2 linked regions of the Drosophila melanogaster genome follow. The protein of the gene in region 2 interacts with the protein of the main gene of each other region in a pairwise test. Each region holds a gene or a part of one and is shown on either strand. Other genes may lie near its edges.

Evidence for each region.
Region 1: the proteins of CG8569 (region 2) and Klc interact in a two-hybrid assay, tested with the Drosophila melanogaster proteins (2 studies listed by BioGRID).

The regions. Positions count from the first base shown.
Region 1 is NT_037436.4:12,745,091-12,753,153, forward strand, and holds Klc (kinesin light chain), read right to left. Parts: upstream 4,967-8,063; 5' UTR 4,873-4,966; intron 4,750-4,872; exon of another isoform or gene 4,620-4,749; intron 3,809-4,619; exon of another isoform or gene 3,717-3,808; intron 3,593-3,716; 5' UTR 3,568-3,592; coding exon 2,966-3,567; intron 2,852-2,965; coding exon 2,731-2,851; intron 2,665-2,730; coding exon 2,185-2,664; intron 2,114-2,184; coding exon 1,808-2,113; intron 1,741-1,807; coding exon 1,723-1,740; 3' UTR 1,526-1,722; downstream 1-1,525. Other genes in the region: CG32109 (uncharacterized protein), read left to right, coding at 318-378, 639-835, 891-1,146, 1,207-1,388; CG10984 (uncharacterized protein), read left to right, coding at 5,517-5,649, 5,712-5,765, 6,217-7,832, 7,894-8,063. UniProt on the Drosophila melanogaster protein: Kinesin is a microtubule-associated force-producing protein that may play a role in organelle transport. The light chain may function in coupling of cargo to the heavy chain or in the modulation of its ATPase activity.
Region 2 is NT_033778.4:12,516,003-12,522,772, reverse strand, and holds CG8569 (uncharacterized protein), read right to left. Parts: upstream 3,608-6,770; 5' UTR 3,541-3,607; coding exon 3,426-3,540; intron 3,361-3,425; coding exon 2,303-3,360; intron 2,243-2,302; coding exon 1,589-2,242; 3' UTR 1,149-1,588; downstream 1-1,148. Other genes in the region: CG8818 (uncharacterized protein), read left to right, coding at 3,966-4,936, 4,999-5,132, 5,185-5,369; CG13151 (uncharacterized protein), read right to left, coding at 5,515-6,770.

The sequences.
Region 1 (8,063 bases), on a different chromosome or scaffold from region 2:
CACGCCCACCAAAACGACCACAATCGACAATAAATATAAACGCCAGTGAGCTAGTGAGCTATCTAAAAAAATAGTCTTTTCTTCTTTCGTACCAGCTGAGTAAGGGGTATCCTATAGCCGGGAAACTGAAATAAAGCGTTCCCTCCTTTTTAATATATATGTAAATTATTAAAAAAAAAAAAACATTTTAAAAAAGTGCCGGTAAAAGCAAAGCTTTATTCATTTGGAGTTCAGAACTTTTCGTTCTCGAAGCTTGGTCACACTGGTGCATAGCTTTTGTTTTTGTTGACTGAAATAAATAAAGAAATTGCAATATAATGGATCCAGTAGTACTTGTTTTATCTTATGGAGCAGTTCCTGCACTGGAAATAGTCGAAAGTAAGATTAGTTACTTGAAAAAGTACAGAGTGTTCTTCAAAGGCCCTATTTTTGTTGTCCCAGTATTTTCACGTTGTTGCAGCTTTGTTTATTTGAAATTTATGAGTAATACAGGCGAATTAAATGTTTTTATTCTGTTGGTATGAATACAGCATACTAATCATACAATGCATTTTTATAAGAGTATAAAGGATTGTTAAAAAAAAAACCCATTCATAAATACGTTTACTACTACGTTTATACGTTCCATTTTGTTGCAGATATTTTATCTGAAGTGAATCAATCGAAGGAATCAACATCAACGGAGTGCTCACTTAATTGTTATAAGTGCATCATTAAAACCAAGTACTATAACACTTCTATCAACTTAATTCCATTTTCTGGAAAACTGGAAGCTGTGCCGGAGAAAATTCTTCAAGCAACCGAGGCGTTGATTATTTACTTTGATTCACAAGACGTAAGTGTTTATAAAAGCAATAATAGTATATCTATTATATTACAATTACTTGCAGACCTCCTTTATCGACACTATTCCCAAGACGTTAGCGAAGAATGAACAGATTCAGCTGGGCTTTCTGCTAACCTCTTCCACTTCAGAAGAAGGTGGATTGTCCTTTGGAGAAATTAAGGAGAAAACGAATTTCCTTTTTGACATCATAACATTGAGAAGCAATGTTGAGAGTGACCCAGATGAAGCTGAAAAGGACTACGAGGAAGTTGTGGAGGGTTTGAAAAACGTAGTTTGGTCCAATGTCAAGTTTGGTTCTGGTTAGTGCCCAGGATTTGAGTTGAGAAACCAATAATCCATTTCGTCCTATTGATTTGCAGATCACAAGGAGGAAATCAGTGCCGACGAGCTGGATAGTCAGCTGAAGGACTTTGAAAACTTACTCCTCACGGCGCAAAATCTACGTAACGATACGAGTCTCACTCGGGAACAATTTCTGGATCGGGCTGAGCAGTTTGCAGGCATAGTTTCCTCGATTTTAAATGACAATGATAGCGACTAACTGATACTCAGTTATCGTAGGCAAACTAATCGTACTGTTTGTTATCAATAATAAATGTTAAGCTGATTCCACTGTAATGTGCTATATCTGGTCCGTATTTTTGGTTTAGTTTTGAAGGTTTAAATACAAACAGGATTATGTTAAATATATTTGGTTTATTATTAAAAGCGGTACATATTTTTTGAAATAACAAGGTATAAAACGTTGTTTATTTGCTAATGTATGCTTGAGAGCTTATGTATATTAAGGAATGAATAAATAAAGTGTGTGTTTGCTGTTAGCTTTCAATCATAAACTTAAAGATTCCGTTGTGGGCGATGAACAAATAATATTTTTATGGTTTCGCATTCTTCTGCAAGAATAAATGGGAATGATTAATTTAAGTTAATTAAGTTAAGTGATTCGATTTTGAAACTCACCTCCTCAGAGAAATCCAAATCCTCTTTAATTGCCTTCGATCGTCGCTTTTCGTTTGACGTTAGCAATTGTGAGAGCTTCGTTTGTTTAGCTAGATCGTAGGCTTCTTTTTTACTCCGCATTGCACAGTCTTCCAGGGTTTCGGCCGCTTCAAACATGCCTTGACGTCGGTAAAGTGCTCCCAGATTTTTTAGAGTGGTTGTGACCGTGGGCGAATCCACTTTAGCGGCCTTATGCCAACCGCCGTACTCGCCATATGGAGTGTTCTCCCTGTTATCGAATTTGTGCTCCTCACGCTCCTCAGCCACCTGAAAATTGTAGTAAGAAAAGGAACTTTTGAGTATTTACCAGGCATAACAGCACAACAACACAACATTACCTGCCAAATGGGCTTGTTTTTGCTGTCGATGGCTCCAAACTCACGTTCGTGGGCTCGCGTCAAGACCTGCTTATAGAGGATTTCAGCTTCGGTGTATCTACCTTGCTTCAGATAGCAGCCGGCCAGATTATTCTTTGTCTTGGCCACGTTGGGATCATCGGGACCCAACTTTGATTCGTAGATGTCGAGAGCTCGCTGGTAGTACTTCTCAACCTCGTCGTATTTGCCCTGATTCTGGCAGAGCAGGGCGAGATTGTTAAGTTGCTTGGCAACATCGGGATGATCCTTTCCCAGGACTTTCTCTCGGATCTCCAAGGCACGCTTGCACAGTGGCTCGGCATCTTTGTACTTGCCACGTTTGCCATAGAGGACGGCCAAGTTGTTCAACGTGGCCGCCACGGCTGGATGGTTCTCGCCCAGTGTCTTTCCTCGAATCGACAGAGCGTCGTTGAGTAAATTGGCGGCCTCCTTATACTTGTTCTGTATGGCACGAGATGTTGTTAATTAACGATTGTATAAATTAAGTTAATCAAAGCGTAGACGCACCTGATCGCGGTACACGAGAGCCAAAATGTTCAGCATGGTTGCTACATCGGGATGGTCGTGACCACTTGTCCTTTCGAGATCTTCCAATGCTTGCTTGCAGAGGGGAACGGCTACCTCGTATCTAGAAATATATTAGGCTATTATAGTTAATGATGAATTGATAGATAACGATGTTGTAGGTAAGGGGTTTCTTTAGTGCTCACGAGTAAAATAAAATGCATGGATGATGACTTACCTTCCCTGCGATGCATACTGAATGACCAGGTTGTGCAGAGTACGGAGACGCGCTGGAATCTCGTAGCCGGAAGTCTGGTTGGCGAACTGGCTGGGCGGAGTGGGCGACATGTTGTGTCTGTCCTCGTTTTCCTCGTCCGGGAATAGCTCGACCACGGGATCGGTGCGGGACTTGTCGCAAGCGTCGTCCTGCTCCTGATTCTCGTCGTACTTCTTCACGGACGCCATGAACTCCAGGTGCTTCTTCTCCTCCTCTAGTTGGGCCACCAGCTGCTCGGATGCCTGGAACTTTTGCTGAGTGTTGGCCAGCTCGTCGCGAAGCCAGGCGTTCTCCTGGTGGAGGCGGCGCACCTGTGTCTTAAGCTTGTGCTTCTCGGCCTCGATGTTCTGCAGATGGGATGTCAGGGCCATCATCACCTGGGCCTCGCTGAGGCCCAGTTCGATGTTCTCGATGTTCTTTCGCAGCATGTCCGACTTTTCATTGTCCTTCTGCACCTCGGCGATTCCGTTCATAATCGAAACATGCTCCACTCGCAAGGCTTCGAGGCCTTGAAGGACTGTTTTCGTATTGGTTATGATTTCGTCCTGCGACATTTGCGTCATTTTGCCGATTTTCTCAATTTTCTGTCTACAAAACACATACAAAATACAGATTAGTAAGTGCTCCTACAACCCTCTGACATCTGAAAGTGTAACAACATGAATGATATCAAAATTAAAAGGTGTTAATCGAGGTATTTGATGTGTTTTACATCCTGTATGATTTGATAGCTTTGGAGACAATCATTTTAACCGTATATTAAACGATTCTAGCTGCGTTAATCAATACGATGAAAAAGAAAATTCGCAGTGCGCATGCACGTTAAAAAAGGTGGTTGATAATCGAAAATGCCCGCGCTATTACATTCGCTGTAACAATAACTTTTAGAAACTACAGAAACTATTAAAAGTAAGGGATCAACTTTCTGGATTAAGTTAACTTCAATTTACTTTTAAGCCAAACAAATTCCAGTTCATTCAATTATGTTTTCTAATTGGAAACTAATGGTGGAAGCATATTCGATTTATATCGAATACTGTGCTTTGAAAACTTTCTTTTATTTATTATTTATCAACATTGCCGGTGTGATTTACATAAACATGACACTTCGTTAAAAAGTGTTTAAGGCCATTTAGTTCGTTTATTATGGTTATAATTATGGGCGAAAGTTAATTACACTTGGCGTCATGCAATAAACAAAAAACGAATGGCAAAAGTAGCTGCTTACATCAACTAAAATAAATTGTATAGTTTTTTAGAGACCGAAGCTATTAGTACCCTAACATATTCAAAATTATAGTTTTCTTTAGTCATTTGCCTTTCGAATCGGAAATCTAGATTGCGTAAAATGAGATTGTAAGTTGATTTTCGAGAAAATAGCTTTATTCTTAATCAAGATCGCCAAATATTGTGATTGGAATAGTCAGATTATAAATATTGCAAATGGGGTTACAACACCCCAGCTCACTAATTCCAGTGTATTAAAAAGTGAGTCACTTTTTGTACATAATATCTATGAACACTTAAACATAAAAGTTAGTGGCATTAAGAGATTGTATTTAGTATTTATCATGCTAAACGATTACTTAGGCCTTAGGCCTCCATTTGTGTTTACTTTGCCACACGAGCTGCCGCCGAGCACTTTTCCAACTAGACTTGATTATTTATGTAAAACGAATCATATTTTCCAGTAAAAAACTTTTCTTCAAGTGGCAGTCACTTATATTTATGTGCAACATATGTACATACACAGATAAGCTCAAGTAGATGTGTTTGTGTGTGGGTGAATGGATTTTGTCGTTCGAAATCCAGTTGGAAATGATTATGCAAGTTATCGCGCAGTGCATTCAAATATTGTAACTTATTACCAGCGGTTTTGCTCTGCAAACTCCTCAAATAAGCGAAATAGTGCGTAGATTTGCTATAAAAATATCTTACACTGCAAAACTTCTAAAATAAAACTGAGTGTGACCGTAGCCGGGGCGTTGAATTGTGTTTGACAAGCTAGGATTTTCTTCAACTGTGCAGTAGTGGTCACACTGTCGGGAGGAGAACGCAGTGGAATCGAAACACTAACTAAAGAAATGAAAATTCCTGAAAAAATCGGGTAGACTAACAATAAGACTTCGTATAATAGCTAAGATGTAGTATAAATAAAGTAGTAGTTAAAAGTAATAATGCGCAACATGCTATTTGTAAGCATCTATAACATGTTGGAGGTCAACAAACGCACATACCTTGGTGGAGCAGGTATTGATTTAGTTCAATAAAAAATTTAATTTTTGGAACTAATTAAAGGTGTATCTTGAAATTTGTACACATAATATATAAATTAATTTGTTGTTAACTTAATGGATTTGAAAACATCGTTATTATATTAGCAAGCTGGCATATTTTTGTATTCACGATACGGTCGCACTATTCTTTTTGTAATAAATTTTGCAAGACTTTTTCAAGTCTCCGTTTTTGTTCTATATTTTAATTTTTACCGTCTAAAACTGAACAAAAGAGTATGCCACCCCCAAGACCGAAGGGGATAGGATTTAATACAGGAGCTACCCAACCCAGATCGAACTCAAACACGCCAATGTCGGAGAGGCAGCAAATGGCTCTGCTCATCCAAATGACAGCCAACTCGTCGACAGGTAAATAAGCAAAATAATTAAGTGAATGTCTACTTTTCACATGATTCAAGTGGATTTTATAGTTCAGTCACAAAGCTTAGAACTTTTGCTCGTCGGCTTGAATTTCAATTTACATCGTGGGTACTTCGCTGCGTACATACTTACACGCATATACATCTATGCATGTACATATCTACGTATGTACATACATAAATGTATCTGAGAGTCAGGAATAATGTAAAAGTATCCGAGAAACTGGTTTCGATTGCGGATAAATTGTCATTTAACTGATTCAAATGAAGATACCAATTATTATTGAAGAAATATGTGTAAAGATGTCAAAAAAACCCTGTCTCTTATCCGAGCTAATACTTTAGAAACCAAAATTAAAAACAACTCATTTAACGATGCTTAAGTTCTTAGTTTTCACACAAAATCATTTTAGTTGGTTTTCCTTCAAACATAACTACAAATTCCACCCGAAAAGATATCCGATAGACAATAAGCTTTCATTTTACTTCCTACATGATCTTCCAAACTAAATCACACAGCCGTCAAATGTAATGTATAAGATTCTCGTTCTTGCAGATTCATCCCGCACCACCTTAAAGAAGAATGAATGCAAGAAAGGAGACGCAGAGACTGACGAGGGCAGCCTGAATGAGAAGCAAGAGGTCCTGGACACGAAAGACAAATCTTCAGCGGAGGAGAGCAGCAACGATGGTAAATCCAGCGATACGAATCATCAGGGAACTTCGGCTGCCAAGCGCTGCTACTCAGACATAGAGGAGGACTACGAGGAATCTGGCGAGGACGTAAAGAAAAAGAAGCGCAAGGATTCGGAGCATGGAAAGGACGTGAAGGGGGCCTCCCTGAAGCTCACATCGCGCGTGGAGAAAAGCTCCAAGCTAGCTGCAACGAAGGGATCCCCGTCAGGAAACAAAAGCAGCGCTTCCAATGCCGAAAAGGAGCCGGCGGAGACTAGTAAGAATGTAGATATTGAGAACGAAACGGAGTGCAGCGATGATTACAAGAGTAACGACAGCCTATACAACGGAGGACTCAAAGTGCCGCCATTAAAAATTGTGATTCCGCAGCAGAACTGCTCAATCGACACTGAGGGCAATGTGCTTCGAACTGGCAAGGTGACTGCCTCTCGCAATGCCGCCCTGCCGTATGTGGTCAGCTCCAATAGCGATTCCATTGACACCGTCATAACCAATCAATCTATTAGCCCGCACGAAAGTCCACAGAAGAGCAATAGCATTTGCTCCACAGCCCTCGATGACAAGAATATAAAGCTCTTCAATGACGAAAAGAACCTGAGGGTCCTGCGAAGCTCTCATCGCACTGGAGTGACCAGTGTGGAGCGCAGTTCCAATAACTCCTCCCCGCAAATGCAGAGCAGCTCTCCATCGCCAGCGTCATCGAATCATGCCAACGATCCTGCAGATGTGAAGCTCTCCTATAGCAACATGACATCTAGTCCGATCCCGCAGGGCCACCAGTTTGACCAGGAGGCAATCACCAATGTTCCAAGCCCGTCGACGTCGTCGACATCCTCGTCCAAGGACATAAATCCCTCGAACGTGGAACTCCATCCACGGAAGCGAAAGATTCGACCGAAAAACACCGACGACAGTTCGAAGAACTCAAATGCGGCGGATTCCGGTGTCAACTCCGAAGAATCTCACCCCCATGACCATCCCTTCACCAATGGCTTCCAGATGTTCTTGAGCATCCGTCGTCAGATCGAAAAGAAGTGGAAGAGCTTGTATCCGGTGAAGCCAAGACCTCCGCAAGGTTACAACGAGTATCTGCTGACAAAGAAATCCTACTTATTAAGACGCAATGCGACGATCTCAGTTCCGGATATTCCACGCACTGTTCCGCAGGCCATGGAGAGGATCTATCAGGATCAGGAGAAGGCCAGGCGAGATCTGATCGAAGCGCACACCGTGGAGCGGGAGAAACTATGCATGAACGTTGAGCAGGAGATAATACGCGTTCACTCGAAGGCGGCCAGGAGCATATCTGGACAGCCGGCGCCCTATTCCGTTTGCACGTATTTGAAGGACGACGAGGTCTACAACATGATCACACCGGAGCAGGATGAAAAGGAAAAGAGTGCTCGTTGCCGCTTTAATGGACGTTTGCTCCTCAGCTGGCTGCAAGATGTTGATGACAAGTGGGAGAAAATTAAGGTATGCTGACCCTAAACAAAATATTTTTCGTTGTAAATCTTAATTGTTGTTACCTTTGAAGGAGTCCATGGTGTTGCGGCATCATAACGAGGCGGAAAGTCTGCACGCCGTGCAGGTGATGGATTGGAATATATTTGCAAAACGAAATAGGCTATGTGACAACCCGATTGAAGTTAATTTGGAGCACGTTCCGATCGTTTCAGTTGGTGACGACTTTGACACATTGCCAAC
Region 2 (6,770 bases):
TTTTGATGTCTTGTTAATTGATTTGTGATAGCCTTTTCTTATTAAGAAAATGCGAAATAAAACGTAGTTATAGCGCGATCAATATCGTAGGCTATCCAATGCACTTCAAGCTTATAATTTCCCTCCGGAAAGGGTAGTATTTCGGTGAGCTTGTAATTTATACTATGATATGACATTTCATCCAGCACAAGATCATGCTGAAATGAATGTAATATGAATATTCACTTTAACAACTTCGGGTATACTTACGTTATAAGGACAGGTGTGGTTTATGTTGGAATAATCTTTAAAGAGATTGTAAAAATACAGAGCAATCGGATTGGGATTTCTAGATTTTAGAAATCTGCACCCGTCAAGAGTCATATTGTAGAGAAAAGGCTTATAGCCATTCAAACGTTTATAGAGACCAAATTGCACCTGAATTAAAAAACAGTAACTTATTATAATCGCTTAGGTATAAATATAAGTTTACTAAATTATACCTTAATTTTGGTTACGGGTATCTTTAGTAGTTTAACTTTGAGGGAAACATATTTGTAAGATCGGTTCACAGATTAAAGATAGCAATATTCAAATAGGGAAAAGTCCTTATCCAAGGTCTCGCACTGTACGTTTGTAAATTCCACTAGGGAATAAACCTAAAAGAAGCTTTTAAAATATGACATTTCAGTTATAATAATTCGTTACCTCTGTGAGATAATAAATACAAATCAACTGAAAAGCGACGCACAATTTCAGCTTGATTGCCATTATTTCCTTTTAGTTATACACAGTACAAAGGCCTTCGATTCTTTTTAAAATAATAATACTTTTGACTTGCTTTCTTGTTTCCTTTTTAAGGTATAAACTTAACTATTCACTTTAGTGATTCGCTTATTTGGTATATGTTTCTTGCGCACTTTTTTAAATAGATAAATTGGGAACCTTTTTTATAAGTATGGCTGTGCAAGACGACTGCGGGAAAACAGATCTTGCTCATGGTTTAAATATTGATAAATCGAATAAAACCATTTAAAATTAGAGCAGTTAAAAACCATGAATTTAATGAGATACTATTCAAAATCGATTGGTTTTATCGAGAAAGAAACTGTCATTAAAGTTTTCCATGTGTTTCAATTGTAATTATTTAAGTATGCCACGAAAATATTGTGGATGAACAATAATTTGTGTTTATTATTATGAATACAGCTGGCACGAAATAATACCCATTCTTATAAAATATGTATATATTTTTTGGTAGGAAACAAGTTTTTATATTGTTAGTAACAAGTACAAGTAAGTTCCACGCCCACACTTTTAAAGTATTGTACGTTTTTTCTGATTTTTTATAAACGTAATATGAATATGGATTAATATGATCAGGTGGCGACACCTAGCGGAAACAGTGCTGCCCATCATAAGAACGGAAAAGGCGCCATTTTCAAATATCTCATTGATAATATTTTTCATTAATACAAGTTTAACATTCTTTATCTTCTGAAAATATTGATGCATATCTTAAGAACGGATACATTTGATACAAAAGGATGGTAACAAACGAGATGTTATCACTTTGGACATAGTTTCCAATTTCGTCTGTAGTCCTAATTTAATGAGTAACTTTGCAGGATGCTTGGTGGCGTCTCTTATCACGTCGCTGGCATTCAACGCTGCAGTAGGACGCAGTAAAGCAGCAGTTAAAAACGGCCTCATCCAGGCAATGGTAGCACCATTGCTTCCTTTTCACTTCGGCCAGCTTCCTTTGCGTGGCCGAGAGCTCTCTTCGGCAATTTAGCAGATCGTTATGCGCCTGCAGTATTTCGGCGGTTAGACTATCATATGCTACGGAGTCAGGAATCCCACGAATGGGCACCGGCGATGAGGTATTCGAAGTGGTGTTATTAAGCCGTCGATTCTTTGCAGCGCCGGGAGTGGCTGGAGTCGGCGGGCGTCCTCGTTTGCCGGACGCACTCGTTTCCGTTGACTCCGTGCAGTGGGATAGAGCCACCTTAATGAGATTCTCGGCAACGGTGGGATCTGCATGGAAGCCGAATAGCGAGGCGGAATAGTGGGACAACATCATGTGACACTGCAGTTCTTTTATCGCAGCGCTCAGAGCTCGGGAGTTCCGTGGTTTGATATGCGACTGAATGTCCGACTCGATGGGTGTAATATCACGTTCTGAGATGAGGGCCCGGGAATGAGTGCCACCGAAGAAGCGGACGTCGTACTTGATGGGCTGACGCTTGGAGACGCTCATCACCTGGTAAAGAAATTATATTTATGTGTATATATTACATAGTAATGATAATATCGTACGTACCTTTGCAGGCCACGGTGGTGAGCCCACCTGCTTGGCAAATACCAACTCGTGCCGCTGAAGACATGGCTTGGCGAACCAGAGATCCGACAGGCTGGCCTCGTTGGAATACCTATAGCAGTCGGGGCAACGACGGATTTCGCGAATGTCGTGCGTCACATCTCTCATCAGCCACTTGGTGGCATTGTACTCAACGCTCTTTTGCCCAAAGAACACGGCCATGTTGTGCTGCAGATCGAGCAGATCCATTAGGAATTCTGTTAGGTACGTATACTTCGCCGCCGCTATGTTGCGCTCGATGTCGCCCAGACCCAAAATCTTTGTCTTGAAGAGTAGCCGCTTAACCAGCGCCTTGTCGCGTTCGTTCCAATGCTTGGCCATGTACTTGGCCACATCCATGGAGATCCAGGAGTGATGCTGGTCCCAGGAGTACTTCAATAGGCAGCCCAGCTCTTGCTTGTCGAGTTGCGGTGGGTTGTGGAGAGCGGCCAGGGCGAGCAAACGGCAGTGGGTGCAGCGCTCCAGATCGCTTCCCTCATCGCTATCCAAACTGCTTTGTAGTTCGTCCTTGATCCTGGGCAGCTTTCGCTGGCGCGCGCCCTTTTGTTCGCACACAAAGAAGACGTCGTCGTCCCACTCGATGTTCTCGTGCTTCAGGAAATCCGTAGTGGCTAGCAAAGTCTGATTGATGTTGCTATTATGATCGAGCAGGGGCGTTGGCGTTTGGGGAGTCTCCAAGTTCTGAGTGTTATTCAGGGGCTGATTGTCCAATTCGTTGACGGGAAACTGGTAAGGTTGGCCCTTGTCCGAGGGCACTGAATAATTGGGCTTCTCCGGGTCCTGTCGCTGGCAATTCTCGTGGAAGGAGCGATGGCAGGATATGCATTTCTTAACGGCTCCGGGCAAATGGCACTCGAAGCAGAACGGATCAATTGGTGAGCTGGGCAGCCGGCTTACTTTTTGACAAAAGGCGAGGGCCAGACGCTTGGACCGTCCGCCGCCTGCTCTGGCCACCAGTATGCCTCGCTCCGTGGCATTTTTCACCGATAAACTGGCTGCTTCTGAAGTTGGATTTTTAGATGTTTGAGACAAACGTTATGGATTGGACATTCAATGGTTCACTTACCTGCACTCATTAAATTGAGCAGGGAACGCTCTAGGACTGTCGCCGGCTGCCCAACGCCCTTTTTCAGCTTGTCCATCCAAATACGGATGGCTGAAGGTGGAATATCGCTGGCCATTTCATTTGCGTTTTAAAGTTTTCTTGCAAATGAAATCAATTTTTGGCTAACTGGAAGCGTTGCCGGACTGCTGGATTGGGTGAACTCGCGTTGCCAACTATAGGCAACAGGAGCTGCCACGTAGGGGTAACTTTAAATTTACATACAAATTTATGGATTTTTAAATGACTCTACTTAAAAGTAAGTTTGTAATTATATGCAGCATTCCATTTTTAAACATTTGTGAAACAAAGTATCTGAGTTTATTTCAGTAACAACTTGCTATGATTCGTAATAATGGTATTCCTCGATGGCATTTTCACACGGATCAGCGACGGTAACACTGTTGAAAACAAAAAATATACACAACTTATACAATCCGAGACAAAAACGGGGCAAAGGAGGCGTGTCTAGAAGAGCGGAGGACGCGGAGGTGACCCCAAGTCATGGCCATGCTGACGCGATTGACCAGCAGCGGCACCACCACGGTGGCCGGAGCACCCGGTTCACCCAAGGGCCTGCAGCGTTTCCAAAACTACATCTCGGCCTTCTTGTGGCCGGGAACGCAGCGGCAACGTCGGAAGTCCACACATCTCGATCCCATGGACTGTTTCACCAACGACTTGGTGACCAGAAAGACCCAAAAGTGGGAGGAGCTGCGCGATAGCCTGATAAAGAGGCCATCGTCCGGAAATCTGGAGGCGGACGCCAATTGCAATGTGGGAACGCAGCGAAAGGCTGGTAGTACCAGCTTTAGCCAGAACGTGGGTCTTATGTCCAAGGGCATGATGAGTGATCTGAAGGCGCTGCGCTCCCCCCAACTGGGACTGGATATCAGATCCCTGTCGCAGGCGCAGCTGGACAACCTGCTGATGGCCACGTTGGAGATCAAGAACAAGCTGGACTTTCTCTACCTGATACGTCAGTGCATCCGCTGCAACCTGTTGCCCTCCAACGAGGTCTTCGTGTCCTGTCTAAAGTATTTGAGCGCGCAGCGCAAGCTCCAGCAGTTGGAGGCACTGGCGGAGACCTGTCGGCAGCTGGAGCACCCGTTCTCACAGACCTACGCGGATCTGGCGCCCTTCCGCGCCATCGCCCTGTGGAACAATGGTAACGCCGACGTGGCCCTGATGACGCTACATCGCGGTTACGGGGTAAGCATGACTTCGGAGGAGGGCAGGCGGATGGCGCGCTCCGCATTCCGCACCATTTCCGAGGAGACTCTGGCCCAGAAGAGTGAGGCGGTGCTAGTGTCGCTGCTGGAGGTAGCGCGTGCCATTCACCGCGAGCACAAGGACATCTTTGTGGTGGCCTGTGTGTGGAAGCAATGCTTCGCTAGCGATTGGTTTTGCGATCAAAAATCGGCTTCGGAACTGTTTGAGCACTACAAGGAGCTGCAAGAGCTAGTGGAGAGGAGGTAAGTCGCTTTAATTTCTTTAAAAACCCGAAATTTGAATCCCAATGTAACCTTCCTTGCAGAGCCAGTTCTTTGTGCTCTTCATTTCTGGCCCGTAACAATGTTGATGCGGTGCATCGGCTAATCGAGGCGTTCTTGCAGCACCAGCAGCGTTTGGCCTGCTCCAGCTGCCTCAGCTTGCTCTTTAACTATCAATGTGAGTCTGTGCAACACAACCGAATATTATGTAACTCCCGTTTCGTTTTTAGATATGCGCAAGGATCTGCGAGCCTGCGCTGAGATTGTCAAATCCTGCAGTGAATTAGAGATGCCGCTAAATGAGCTGCAGAACGAACAGTTCCTCAGTCTGTTCCTCGACCAGAGCGATCCTGTGGACTCTTCGGGAATGGCCAGCAAGTACAAGGCACCCAAGTCCTTCCAGTACAAGTTCTAGTCCCCAGTTTCCATCGTTAAGCCGTTGTCATCGTAGTTACAGCACAAGTGTTTGCACCATTGAGCAATATTGCAAGCATCCCCATATTGCAAGCCCCCACAAGGAATGTAGTGTCTCTTCAATAAATGTTATTTAATATCCATCTTCAGGTGGCTCCTTCATCCACCATGTTGCCCTCGGGCAGTTGGCCAGGCAAAATGCCGACGCATTCGTAGCAGCGGGATATCAAGTGGTTGCCGCATCGATGTTGCAAGCACTGTTGGCACCGCGTCCGCGATTTAGTGCCACGCTTATTTCGAGCGCAGGGCTTGCACCTGCGATGCTTCTCTCCGTACCGACTAGCCAAATTAATGCCCAAGGGCAGGCTCATCTTGTCGGGTGTTAGCACGCCTACGCTGTGCGTTAGTTTCGCCTCGCCGGTCGCCTCACTGAGCAGCCGCTGACTGGATTGGCCCAGGATTTCGCAGATTTGCAGTCGCATCACGAGCGAAGTGCTGGTGGATCTTCGCTGAAGGCGTCGCTGTAATCTCTGCTGTGTGAGGAAGAGTCCCAACTGTCTCTGGAAGTCGCGCTGATCCATAGCGGCATCGCCTTTGGGCGAAAGTCGTAACAGGATCCATGCATTCACGGCAGCCGCGTTGAGCACAAAGTGAAGTAGTTGCAGAAAAGGATTGATCTGCTTTTTCAAGGGTGCGGGCGTAGCGTGGGCTGTGCTGAAGCGCTGGGAGTGTTCGTAAAACTGCTGACAGGCTTCTGAGGTTTGCTCATATGCCTGGACTGCATCTACTTGGGAGCTAAGACCGCAGCAGAAGACTGCGTCGCCATCGAGCGGAATGAGTTTTGAGCTGCCACCAAACAAGGGTGATTCTGTGGGCCACTGCCGCGGCCAATGTGGCGAATTGGCCTCCAGCTTACCCAACGAGCTTATTTGCCGCTGCGCCAACTGCTCGCACTGCGTCAAGTTTAGATACCGTGATCCCAGCGTTACATTTCTTCCCGTGGTCTTGAAATCGCAGATCAGTTGTTCTACATCCTTGTCCGGACATCTCTGGTTTCTGCTTACCACTGCATTGGCCATGTACAGTGTCCTGGCATCACAGCAGAGGGTCATCCGTGACTTGGCCACCGCGCAGAATGTCTCATCCACGGTCAACCAACTGCTGCAGCCGTAGTAGGATCTGCAATTGATTATAAGGCGCTGCCAGAGCTTTTGGCCCTCGGACCAGCCGCAATTTCCCGCCAGACACTCGGAAATGCTTTCGAATCGAGCGAGCGACATGGATGCTCGGAATATGGCATTGCCCAGCTCCAGGGTCCACAGCTCATCCAATGGCCCATTGTGCCTGGCATTTCGGAACACTCCACAAAGGTAGCTTAGACCCAAGAATGCCCGCAGCTCCA